Cricetulus griseus: one gene and its partner. The protein of the gene in region 1 binds, or shares a complex with, the protein of each later gene. Links are inferred from orthologs where the notes say so. Each region holds a gene or a part of one and is shown on either strand. Other genes may lie near its edges.

Region 1 (6,319 bases):
GGGTAAGGAGCATGAGGAAGGGCCAGGCTGAACATGGAGATGGCATTCATACGTGACACTGCGGTGGTCCAGACTCACTCTTCAGTCTCCCTGGGCCTACAGTGTAATATTAGCTGTCGAAGACTCATGTGCTCACAACTTCCATTGAACACAAGGATTCCTGCCTTATGGAAAATGGCACTAGGCCCAACCCCCAGGGGTAACCAGACCCATCGGGGCCACTGCAAGTTCTTGCTACTGCCACTGTGCTACCAAAGCCACGGCAATTTTTGTTTTGTTTTTCGAGACAGGGTCTCACTACGTAGCTCTGGCTGTCCTGGAACTCACTATGTAAACTAGGCTGGCCTCAAACTCAGATTCTCCTGCCTCTGCCTCCTGATTGCTGGGATCAAAGGTATGTGACACTATGATCAGCTTGCCAACAAAATTACTGATTTCTGATGTCACCATTGAGTTTTTTGAGATAGTTGCTCAGACAAACCTCTTACTTTGTAGTAATTATGGATTTGTAGAAAACCTGTCAAGATAATATAGGTTCTCTGCATACTTCATTCAATTCCCGAGATGTTACTTTATAGGTCAGAACTAAGAAAGTAACATTGTCAAACCTGGTGTGACTGCAGTGCCTGTACTCCTCACATTTGGGGATGGAGGCCAGAGTTTAAGGACATCCTCTCCCACATAGCAAGCTCCATGACAGCCTGGGCTACAGGAGGCTCTGCCTCAAACAAAGAAACACATAGGTAAGACGCTATTGATACAATACTGCTAACCAAACCTTGAACTTGGTGGCTTCCCAGCTGTTACTCTGATGCCCTTCTCTGTTTCAGAACCTAGTCTGGACAGTGGTTCTCAACCTTCCTGACACTGTGACCCTTTAGTACAGTTCCTCATGCTGTGGTGACCCCAACCATAAAATTATTTGTTGCTACTTCATAGCTGTAATTTTGCTACTGTTATGAATCATAATGTAAATATCTAATATTCATGATACCTGATGGGGGTCACGACCCACATGTTGAGAACCACTGGTCCAGGACATGGACTGATTGGTCTCAAAAAACAAGTAAGAGATGGATAAATGAAGATACCCAATGGTGACCTCTAGCCTGCATATGGACATGTAATATGTGTGCTCACATGCACACAGATGCATACACTACACACACATATACATCCCCACACACATGCTCATCCACACATACATGCATATCTACACACACCAACACTCTATTCACATGGATACTACAGGGGCATACACACCTACACACTTACACACTTACACCCAAACACACACATTCCTGACATGTGCTGGTGCGCTGTTACCCACCCTGCTTGCTTTTGCCCCATTCAGGACATTCAGGACATTCACTGTCATTCAGGACAGAGCTGACCTGTTCAGCTCTGTCTGTGTCTTGTCCTATTAATGTCCTACTCTATGACCTTTCTACTGTGTCCATGTCCCATCCTACTCTGTGACCTGTGGTGCCTTGTCCCAGCCTCCTCTGTGTGCTGGGCTGTGACCCAGGCTCTTCAGCTGATTTCCCACTGGTTTGGGGCAACATGGGGAGGAAATGCAAGCAGGGGCAGAGCACATTTTCCACGCTCTGCTTTGCTTGTACAGCACTTCCAGCTACAGCTTCAACTCCTCTGGGGTCTGCTGCCCCTGGTCCCCCCAACTCACATCTTCTCCCTGTGTGACTTCTTGCTGTTGACACTGCTAGGTGACCTCCGCTGCCTAAAGCTGGCCTCTCTACATTTCTGCCACTTGGGTAACCCCCATATGAAAGTCCTCAGAACAGTGACTGTCTCTTGCCTGGTATATGTGCCCAGGACTCCCCTCCACCCTCAGTCCTCTTACTCCAATGGCTCAGTCAAGCACCAAGCATCATCACAATGCTAAAAGATAAGGTAACCCCAGCACTTGGGTCAGGGGTAAGGACAGACTAGGCTATAAGAAATCCTATTTCAAAAACAAACAAACAAACAAAAAATCAAATCAAAACAAAAATCCAAAGAGCTAAAAGTAGCTTCCAGGTTCTATGGAGTGGTGTCATGGCCATTATACCTAACAGCCACCCCTTCCTTTGCAGGGTTGCTGACTGAAAAGCCAGGAGAACCTTGAGTTGGCTGACGTCTCAATGCCGGGGTATACAGAGGCAAAGTCAGCCGCTCCAGAGATGGCCTTGGCCTTGGACATCTTCAGCATGCCCCCTTCCTACGATGGCCTGGCCATCCATAGAATCCCACTGAGTACAGACATAATCCCAGTTATGCCAATGAAGACCTTGACCCCATCCAAATCCAAGCTCAACACCATCGAGGCCAAGAGAATCATGACAGTCCTGGATGAGGCCATACAAAAAGTGGGGCTGGTGACCCTGATGTCCTACGTGGAGTCCCACCCAGATGCTCTGGAGGGAGTGTTCCCTGAAGACTTGATGAGGGCCATCAGAGAACATCTGGACATCGGCCAGGTCTTTCTGGAGGGTGCCAGCAACCTGCAGGAGAAACAAAAACTGCTGGAGGAAAAGAAGGCGGATGCTGAGGAAGCCTGGTGCCGGGACCGCCTAATGTCTATAGAACTATACAAGGCCAACCTGTGGCCACTGGCACACCAGTTCCGAGATTCCACCAAGGCCATCCTGAGGCTCCTGTCCAGCCAATCCCAAATCATCACACTGCTGCAGGCACGTGCACCAGGCAGAAGCCGGGGGGCGCAGCGCCTCCTTGAGGCCCTGATAGAGCTTCGGGGCTACCTCTTTGAAAAGCTCCTCACCAGCCCTATGGAAGTAAGGGAGAAGAACCAATTCATACAGGACATCAACCGGAGGAATGAAAGGAACCAAGAAGTCATTGATGCTCTCCAGGCCGAGCTGGCGGAGGTGCTAAAGAATAAGGAGGCAGAGGTATACTTCCCAGCATCCCTCAGGTTCCGGGATGAACTGCGTGGGCCAAGCCCTTTGGGACTTGGCTTTTCTTTCGTTGATTCAAATAGCTTCCTCATCATTTACTCTGTAGAGATTGTCCTGAGCATTTTACTAGGAGGTTATATCATTAAATAAATCCAGCCTCAAGAGCTCACAGGACATTAAGGAATTAGTTGACAGCTGTTCGGAAGTGTGAAGGGTAAGGACAGGGCACCATGGAGGGATGATACGAGAGAACTGAACTCGGGCCGGAAGGACCAGGGACACTGCCACTAAGACAAGAAGGATCAAGAAAGGGGGACTGCACCGGGCATTGGTGGCACACGCCATTAATCCCAGCACTCGGGAGGCAGAGGCAGGTGGATCTCTGTGAGTTTGAGACCAGCCTGGTCTACAAGAGCTAGTTCCAGGACACCTCCAAAGCCACAGAGAAACCCTGTCTCGAAAAAAAACAAAAACAAAAACAAAAAAAAGAAAGGGGGACTGAGCCAGACAAGTGACTGTCATGTCAGTCCTGGATGAGGCCATACAAAAAGTGGGGCTGGTGACCCTGATGTCCTACGTGGAGTCCCACCCAGATGCTCTGGGGCTGGCAAGGTGTCTTTGTTACCAGCTAAGTGAGTTCTTCATCTTACATAGGAGAGACATCAGATACATGGGGGAGGGGTTGTAGAGACGGCTTAGTGGTTAAAAGTGCATACTGTTCCTTTGAGGGACTCACAGGGACTCAATGCACAGCCATGGCTGGTCTGGAATGCCGAAGACTAGGCTGGCCTTCAACTCATAAAGATCTCCCTGCCTGTGCCTCCTGAGTGTTGGGATTAAAGGCCTGTGCCATCACACCTGGTATATACCGCTCTAGCAGAGCAGAAGAGTTCAGTTCCCAGCACCTATGTCCAGCAACTCACAAACACCTGTAGCTCCAGCTCCCAGGGATGTCGCCCTGCATTCATGTGTACAATTTCTCTCTCTCTCTCTCTCTCTCTCTCTCTCTCTCTCTCTCTCTCTCTCTCTCTCTCTCTCTGTCTCTCTCTCTCTCTCTCTCTCTCTCACACACACACACAATTTTTAAAATTATATTCAATCTTAAAAGAAATCTGAAATCCAAGAATATTGAAACAAAAGAAAAGTGAAAGCCTATTATGAAAAGAAGTACAGGGTTGGCTAGTGATGGAGCACACCTTTAATCCCAGCATCCTAGAGGCATAGGCAGGTGGATCTCTGTGAGTTCGAGGCCATCCTGGTCTACAGAGAGAATTCCAGGGCAGTCAGGGCATGGCTGAGTGGGTAAAAAGCTTTCTGTACAAGCTGGGGAATCTGAGTTTGAGCCTTGGAGCCCACTTTTTTTTTTTTTTTAAGCTGGTATGATGGTGTACCTATGTAATCTCAGCATTGGGGAGGTAGGGATGGGGGACCCCTGAGACCAGGGGCTAGCCAGCCTAACCTAAGCCACAAGCTCCAGGCCAATGAGAGAGGTGGATGACTGGTGAGGGTGCACATACATGCAAGCACATATCCAGAGAGTTACAGCAGGCTACTCTACAGCTGTGAACACAGAGCTGTGTTTCATCTTATGGACAGGTTTGAATATTTGAACATTCAGAGGTTCTATAGGAAGCTTAAAGTGTACCTGTATGCACATTGCTACCAACCCTGCCCCCACCCACAGTTGACTAGTTAGTATATTATAGTAAGTCCCAGGGTTAGTTACAATTCAGATCTGTCACATCTTGATGGCTGTGGGTCCTCAGCAGCTGCTGTCTTCCTGCAGCCTGCTTTCTTTTTGGCTCTGTATCTCATCTCCAAAGGGTCACACAATCCACACACTGGGCTTAGTGGGCCAGTTGTCTCCACATGACTCTGCTGTTAGTGTGGAAGCAGCCAAAAACAGTATCAGAACAAAAGGGCTGTGTCTCAATTTATTGACAGGTATGGCTGTTTGGATCTGGCTTATGAGCCTTTGTTTGCTGATCCCTTTCCTAGGTGGAGGGGAGCATGTGGTCCCAGACCTGAGATGAGCATAAGCCTGGCTGGTTCCAAACCCTAAGGGAGGGCACAACCAAAGGCCAGCTGCCCCTGTGATTGTGGGAGTCTGTGTGGCAATTAATGGGGCCCCATCCTCATTCGTGCTGGCCTAGGTGGAGAAGGAGAACTTTGTGATCCAAGAGCTGAAGAACCACCTGCACCAGGTGTTCAAGTTCTCAGAGATCAGCCTCCTTCGAACGAAGCAGGAGGCAGAGAAGCAGCAGAAGGTGGATTACCGGGCCTCCCAGGCTCGGCTGGCCAAGATACAGCAAGAGATCCTGACGCTTCGCTCGCAGTACCACAACCTGGTCATGGAGAATCGGGAGGTGGAGCAGGCCCTGAGGAAGGTGCCTTGAGGTCTCGGGGTAGAGAAGGCAGGGCAGGGCTCATCCAGGAGTGGGGAAGCCCAAGACATGTGGTATCTCCTGGGATGTGTGTGTGGGGGCACACAGGTGGGAGCGAGGCTCCTCCCTCACCACCATCTCAAAGTTCGCCCATGGAGGAGGCATGTCTAGCTTCATTCTTTTCTATGGCAGAATCACATTCTGTTTTATGCACAGGGGAAATTTCTTCTTCTTCTTTTTTTTTTTTTTTTTTTTTTGAGACGGGGTTTCTCTATGTAGCCCTGGCTGTCTTGGAACTCAATCTGTAGACAGGCTGGCCTTGAACTCACAGAGATCCACCCAGCTCTGCCTCTCTAGTGCTACAATGCCTGATACCATGCCCAGTATTTTCTTTAAGTTTTTATTTTATGTATATAGGTGTATTGCCTACATGTGTGTCTGTTTGGATATCTGTGTACCACATGTGTGCAGTGCCCTCAGAGGCCAGAAGACAATGTTGTGTCCCCTACAACTGGAGTTACAGAGGGTTGTGAGTTACCATGCAGGTGCTGGGTATTGAACCTGGGTCCTCTGGAAGAGAAACCAGTACTCTTAACTGCTGAGCTATCTCTACAGCTCCAACTACATTTAATTTTTAAACTTAGGGCCTCATTCATGCTAGGCAAAGGTTCTGAGCCACACCCCCAGCTGGGAGCTGACCCTTTAAACTATTAGTGTGTGTGTGTGTGTGTGTGTGTGTGTGTGTGTGTGTGTGTGTGTACTTGTGTGCATGCACCATGATGCCTGTGTGGAGATCAGAGAACAGCTCTTTTGTCAGTTCTCTCCTGCCACCTTGTGGGACCAGGGGATTAAACTCAAGTCCTAAGTGCCTCTGCCTACCCACTGAGCCAGCTTACTGGCCCTGGACTTTGTTTTTGTTTAAGAAAAAATATAAAGTGGAGACGGAAATTGAGAACTGGATCCAGAAATATGACATGGAGATGGGTGAGAAGCAGGTATGTGTCAGGGGTTCTCCCTGAA
Region 2 (5,636 bases), about 44 Mb from region 1:
AATATATAAAATGACAACAAAAATAAGAGGAAGGGCTGGGGTACAGCTCAGGGTAACTCTTGCCTTGCACCTGCGGCCTTGGGCTGGACACCCAGCACTGCAAAACAGATGCTTGAGCTCTTCAGAAATGAATCAATGCTCAAAGCCACGGTAAAAAAAAACAAGGGGAGGTAGCAGAGGAGCAGGTAGAAATTCTGAGAGCTAAGCAATGGCATCAGCTCTCATTTTTATTAAAAACACTGAACACTGGTCAAAAGACTGAAATGTGGGCTGGGGGTATACTCAGTTGGGGTGCTGGTCTAGCATGCACAAAGCCCTGGGTTTGACAGCCAGTAACACATAAAAGTAGACATGGTTGCCCACACCAAAGTAGAAGAGGATCAGAAGTTCAAGGCCATCATTAGCTACATAGCAAGTTCTAGTCCAGCCTGGGATATATGAGACCCTGTCTGGGGGAGGGGGAGTATTGAAGATTATCAGTGAAAACAGATATGATTCTAAGATGTCAAGCCAACCTAATTTTCCAATATGATAGACGAGATTCAGTCTTGGAAAGTTACTAAGATGGACGTTGGCAAGGGAGAATGAGAGCAGGTGCTGGGAGCAGAATTCCGGCCCTCTGGAGAGCAGATGATGATGTCTGTCGCCTGTGTCATCTCTTCAGCTCCACGGCTGGCTTCCTTTACATGTCTTACACACACTGAGATTCTGATTTCTTTCTCATAGGTGTAGAATTAATCATTGTCTATATTCTGTTGTTTTTTGTTTTTATTAAAGTAAAACTTTTTATTTACCTCCCCCTTTCCAGTATCCTATCTTGAGATCAACTTTATGCAAATGGCACTGCATTAGCATACAAAATCTGGGATTACAAGTGTGCAGCACCAAGCCTGTATTTCCTGTGAGTGCTGAGGTCTAACTCAGGTCCTAATGCTTACACAGCAAGCATTTTACCTACTGAGGCAGCTCTTCAGCCCATTACAAGATTTTAAAAAGTTGCAGATTTAAAAAAAGGTGGCATCTGCCTTTAATATCAGCACTTGGGAGGCAGAGGTACTGAATCCTAGTCTACATGATGAACTGTGGGCCAACCAGACTACATAGTGAGACACTGTCCTTACATCAAAACCATTGCTTTCCTTGGAATTTTATAAGTGGAATTTTTTGTTTGAACAGTCTTACTATGGAGCCTTTTCCACCCTAGTACTTGTTATGTACACCAGGAAGGGTTTTGGTTTGTTAGATAGATAGATAGATAGATAGATAGATAGATAGATGGATAGATTTTTTTTTTTTTTTTTGCAGTTTCAAGACAGGTTTTCCTCTGTGTAACAGCCCTTGCTGTCCTGGAACTCCCTTTGTAGACCAAGCTGGCCTCAAACTCAGAGATCTGCCTGCCTGTACTTCCCAAGTACTGGGATTAAAGGTGTACACCACCTCTGCCTGGAGTGGAATTTTTAAAAAATGATCTCTTTACCTTATGGGTATGGCTGTTTTGCCTGTGTGTGTGTGTGTATGTGTGTGCGCGCGCGCTCACGTGCATGCATACCATGTACACCCAGTGCCCTTGAAGACCAGGAGAGGGCACTGAATCCCCTGGGCCTGGAATTGCAACTGTGAGCTGACATGTAGGAGCTGGGAACTGAACCCAGGTCCTCTGCAAAAGCAGTCAGTGTTCTTAACCTCTAGGACATCTCTATTTTGATTCTAGTTTAGTCAAATGTCCAGGAGACTCACCTGCTGCTCTTTCTTAAGGAACAATTCGATCTCCGTGTGAACTCGGTTCTCTTCTTCAGTTTTCATCCTCAGTTTCTGTAATGCGTCAAACACAGGCTCTCTCCTCAGCAAGGCTGAGGTCAGCAGTTCCCAGGCAACACATGCAGCAAGAACCCCAGGAATGCCAGGACTCCCCAAAGAGCTATCTAGCCATTTGTACTCCACAAACCATGCAGAGTCACAGGCTGGCTCCTCCTTAGACACACACAAGGGCCCCAGAAAATGCCGTCACAACCCTGTCATCTAAAAACAATGCTTCAAAGGGTACAAGAGTCTCATCCCAGAGAAGGAAAGTATAGAATTCAAGACAGCCCACACCTGGAATCCCAGCATTCTGGAGGCTGAGGCAGGCAGACCAATTTAAGGCCAGCCCATCACGACAGAGTGAATTTGAGACCAGCCTGAACTACAGAAACCAATGACGGAGGAGGAAGAAGAAGGATGAGGAGAAAATAACAAAACAACAAAAAATCAGGGGTTAGGGGTGGTCCAAGAGCAGCACCTGGGAAGTAAGCTTTCACAGCAGCCTTCTCCAAGTCATGGAAAGAAGCAGGAGTGGCTGGAGCAAAGGCTGCACTTCCAGAGGACCCAGCAAACATATGGTGGCTCACAACCATCTATAATGAGATCTAGTGCCCTCTTCTGGCCTGCAGGCATACATGCAGGCAGAACACTGTACACATAATAAATTTTTAAAAAGAAGCAGGAGGTATAATCATTAAAATCTCTAATCACAAATATTTAATGCCCCATTTAATCTTTTATGTTTGACCTCAAGGCTGCACTGGCCATGAAGGGAAACCTTAATCATCTTCTTCCTCTTTCACCGGCTGAGGCAGGAGAGAGCCCAGCAGTTAAAAGAGTGCACTGCTCTTGTTAGAGGACCTAAGTTTAGTTCTACCCCCCAGGTTGGATGGCTCAAAACCACCTATAACTCCAGGCCCATGGGGCCCAATGCCTCTAGCCTTCCTGGGCACTAACAAGCACACACCTATACATAATATTAAAATATGGAGCTGGAGTTACAGGAGGTTGTGAACCTCCCAACATGGGTGCTGGGGACGGAAAGCAGGACTTCTGGAAGAAATGCATGTACTCTGGTTTGTTTGTTATTCTAGACAGGGTTTCTCTGTGTAGCCCTAGAGGTCCTAGAACTCACTCTGTAGACCAGGCTGGCCTTGAACTCACAGAAGTCTGCCTGCCTCTGCCTCCCAGGTGCTGAGAGTAAAGGTGTGTGCCACCGCCCAACTAAGAAGTGCACGTACTCTTAACAGCTGATCCATCTCTCCTGCCCAAGATAAATCAATCACTTTTTTTAAAGTGACAGCTCACATGACATCAAGTCATCTACCCAGGTTTTTGTTTTGATGTTTGTTGACACTGGAAGGTGGACTCAAAACCTGGCATATGCTGTCACCAAGCTCCATCCCCAGATAGCCTAGTGTAGCACAGGTTACCTCAATCTCCTCCAGCAGGTGTTCCTCTGCTCTGCTACATTTCTTCTGGGTCTGGGAAATCTGCAGCTCAGTGTTTCTTTTCATATAAAGATTCTCCAGGTTGGTTTTGGCCTTCATCTCTTGTAACTGGTCCTTGAGGTGAGCAATGTATTCATTCCCATTCTGCAGAGATGAGACCGGATTTCTGAACTAAAATTTTATTGTGCTTCTAAGGCAACCGGCAAGTGGGGCTGGCTTTCTCCCAGCACACTGAGGGAAACTACTTAGTCATCACGATATTGTGAATGAAAATGAATCACAGAACCAGGAGACAGAGCATAAGGCTTGTCACAGATTCCAGACCAATGAGGACCACGGAGTGAGAATTTATCTCATTAAAAAGAAAAGCAATGCATGGTGGAACACATCTTTAATCCCAGCACTCTGGAGGCACAGGCGGGTAGGTTTTGTGCATTGGAGGCCAGCCTACTTACATAGCAAGTTCCAGACCAGCCAGAGCTACACATTGAGACTGTCTCAAAAGGAGGAAAGAAAATGAAGCTGCGTGTAGTGGTTCATACCTATAATCCCAGCCCTGAGAAAACAAAGGCAGAAAGTTCGGGAGTTCAACGTCATCCTCAGCTACATTCTTAGCTGCTAAAAGCCAGCCTGGACTACAGAAGACCTTGTCTCTAAAAAGGGCAGAGGGGCTGGCCATAAGGCTCAGTGGATCCCTGCCACCAAACCTTATGATCTGAGTTTGATCCCTGGGACCCACATGATAGAGAGCGAGAGAATTGACTTCCTCAAGTTGTCCTCTGACCTCCATACATTCGCTCCACACACACAATACTAAATAAATGTGAGGAGTCGAGGGACATCATCTTTGTTTGCATGTTAGTTTGTTTTTTGAGACAATTTCTCTGTGTAACATCCCTGGGCTGTCCTGTAACTCACTCTGTAGACCAGGCTGGCCTTGAATTCACAGAGAAATGCCTCTGCCTTCCAAGTGCTAGGATTAAAGCTGTGCACCACCACCTGGCATGCTTCACAATTTTAAGGTCTCAAAACTCACTAACTTTTTAAAAAAGAAAATTCTTCAGTAGCAGACACTGAGCTAGGCAGTAGTGAACAATGGAGACCTAACCAGCCATAGTCCCATAAGGGTTCCAGTTTAGTGGAAGGGTGTTGTGAAAGGAAAGTGTGTGGACTTATCTAAATTGTGTGGGTGGTGTGGGAGAAAGATAGGCTCTGGGAGACACAGTAAAGGTGACCTCCATTAACACAACATCTAAACAGAAGGTTTACATTATATCATGCAACATTATGGAACTTTTTATAAATTTTGTAAAAAAGAAGAAGCCTAAGTCATCTGGATTTAATGCTATTGCCTTAAGCTTCTGAATTATTTTCCTTCCTGCTTTACATAAACATCTTTTGCAAACACATCTCACAAAAACATTTTATCAACAGTGTGAAATACAGAGTAAAATATAAAATCTTAGCTGGCATTAGATGCTAAAATCATGACTGAAGTATTATTCCAGCAATTGAACTGAAGTTCAGGTCCATTTTCATATATTCCCACAAAGCAAAACATGCCACCCGAGGCACATCACATTCCTGCACAGACACAGCACACACTGCAGAGACACAGCACACACTGCACAGACACAGCACACACTGCACAGACGCAGCACACACTGCACAGACACAGCACACACTGCAGAGGGACAGCACACACTGCACAGACACAGCACACACTGCAGAGGGACAGCACACACTGCAGAGGGACAGCACACACTGCAGAGGGACAGCACACACTGCAGAGGGACAGCACACACTGCAGAGGGACAGCACACACTGCAGAGGGACAGCACACACTGCAGAGGGACAGCACACACTGCAGAGGGATAGCACACACTGCAGAGGGACAGGACACACTGCACAGACACAGCACACACTGCAGAGGGACAGCACACACTGCACAGACACAGCACACACTGCAGAGGGACAGCACACACTGCACAGACACAGCACACACTGCACAGACACAGCACACACTGCAGAGGGACAGCACACACTGCAGAGGGACAGCACTGCAGACAAACGACTCAGGAATTTCTTTTAAGGCCTTTCACTCAGAGATCTGCCTTCACCACAGCCTGTCATCCTGATCATCCCTGTGACCAAGGCCCTCGGCCTGATTTGGTCTATTTGTGGGGTTTGAAGGCAGACCAAACTTTCTACTCCAAGCCCCCCACTGCCTTCAGACATGGTCTTCTGGACATATTATTGAATCAGAGAAGACGATGGAGTGACAGAGCAGTCAGCCAATTACATTCATAAGGCCCTGGCGGCTGCCGTAGGATGTGAGCCGAAAGTATGTGAGCAGTAGAGGCCGTTCTCACCACTGGCCCTGGC

Evidence for each region.
Region 2: Iqcd (region 1) and Iqcg share a complex: the UniProt entries of both Homo sapiens proteins name them as parts of the nexin-dynein regulatory complex. The link is inferred for Cricetulus griseus from reciprocal best matches to the Homo sapiens genes DRC10 and DRC9.

What each region holds. Positions count from the first base shown.
Region 1 is NC_048597.1:100,410,054-100,416,372, forward strand, and holds the start of Iqcd (dynein regulatory complex protein 10), read left to right. Parts: upstream 1-2,113; 5' UTR 2,114-2,141; coding exon 2,142-2,909; intron 2,910-5,068; coding exon 5,069-5,302; intron 5,303-6,222; coding exon 6,223-6,294; intron 6,295-6,319. UniProt on the Homo sapiens protein: Component of the nexin-dynein regulatory complex (N-DRC), a key regulator of ciliary/flagellar motility which maintains the alignment and integrity of the distal axoneme and regulates microtubule sliding in motile axonemes.
Region 2 is NC_048597.1:56,513,002-56,518,637, reverse strand, and holds part of Iqcg (dynein regulatory complex protein 9), read right to left. Parts: intron 3,396-5,636; coding exon 3,234-3,395; intron 1,813-3,233; coding exon 1,738-1,812; intron 1-1,737. UniProt on the Homo sapiens protein: Component of the nexin-dynein regulatory complex (N-DRC), a key regulator of ciliary/flagellar motility which maintains the alignment and integrity of the distal axoneme and regulates microtubule sliding in motile axonemes.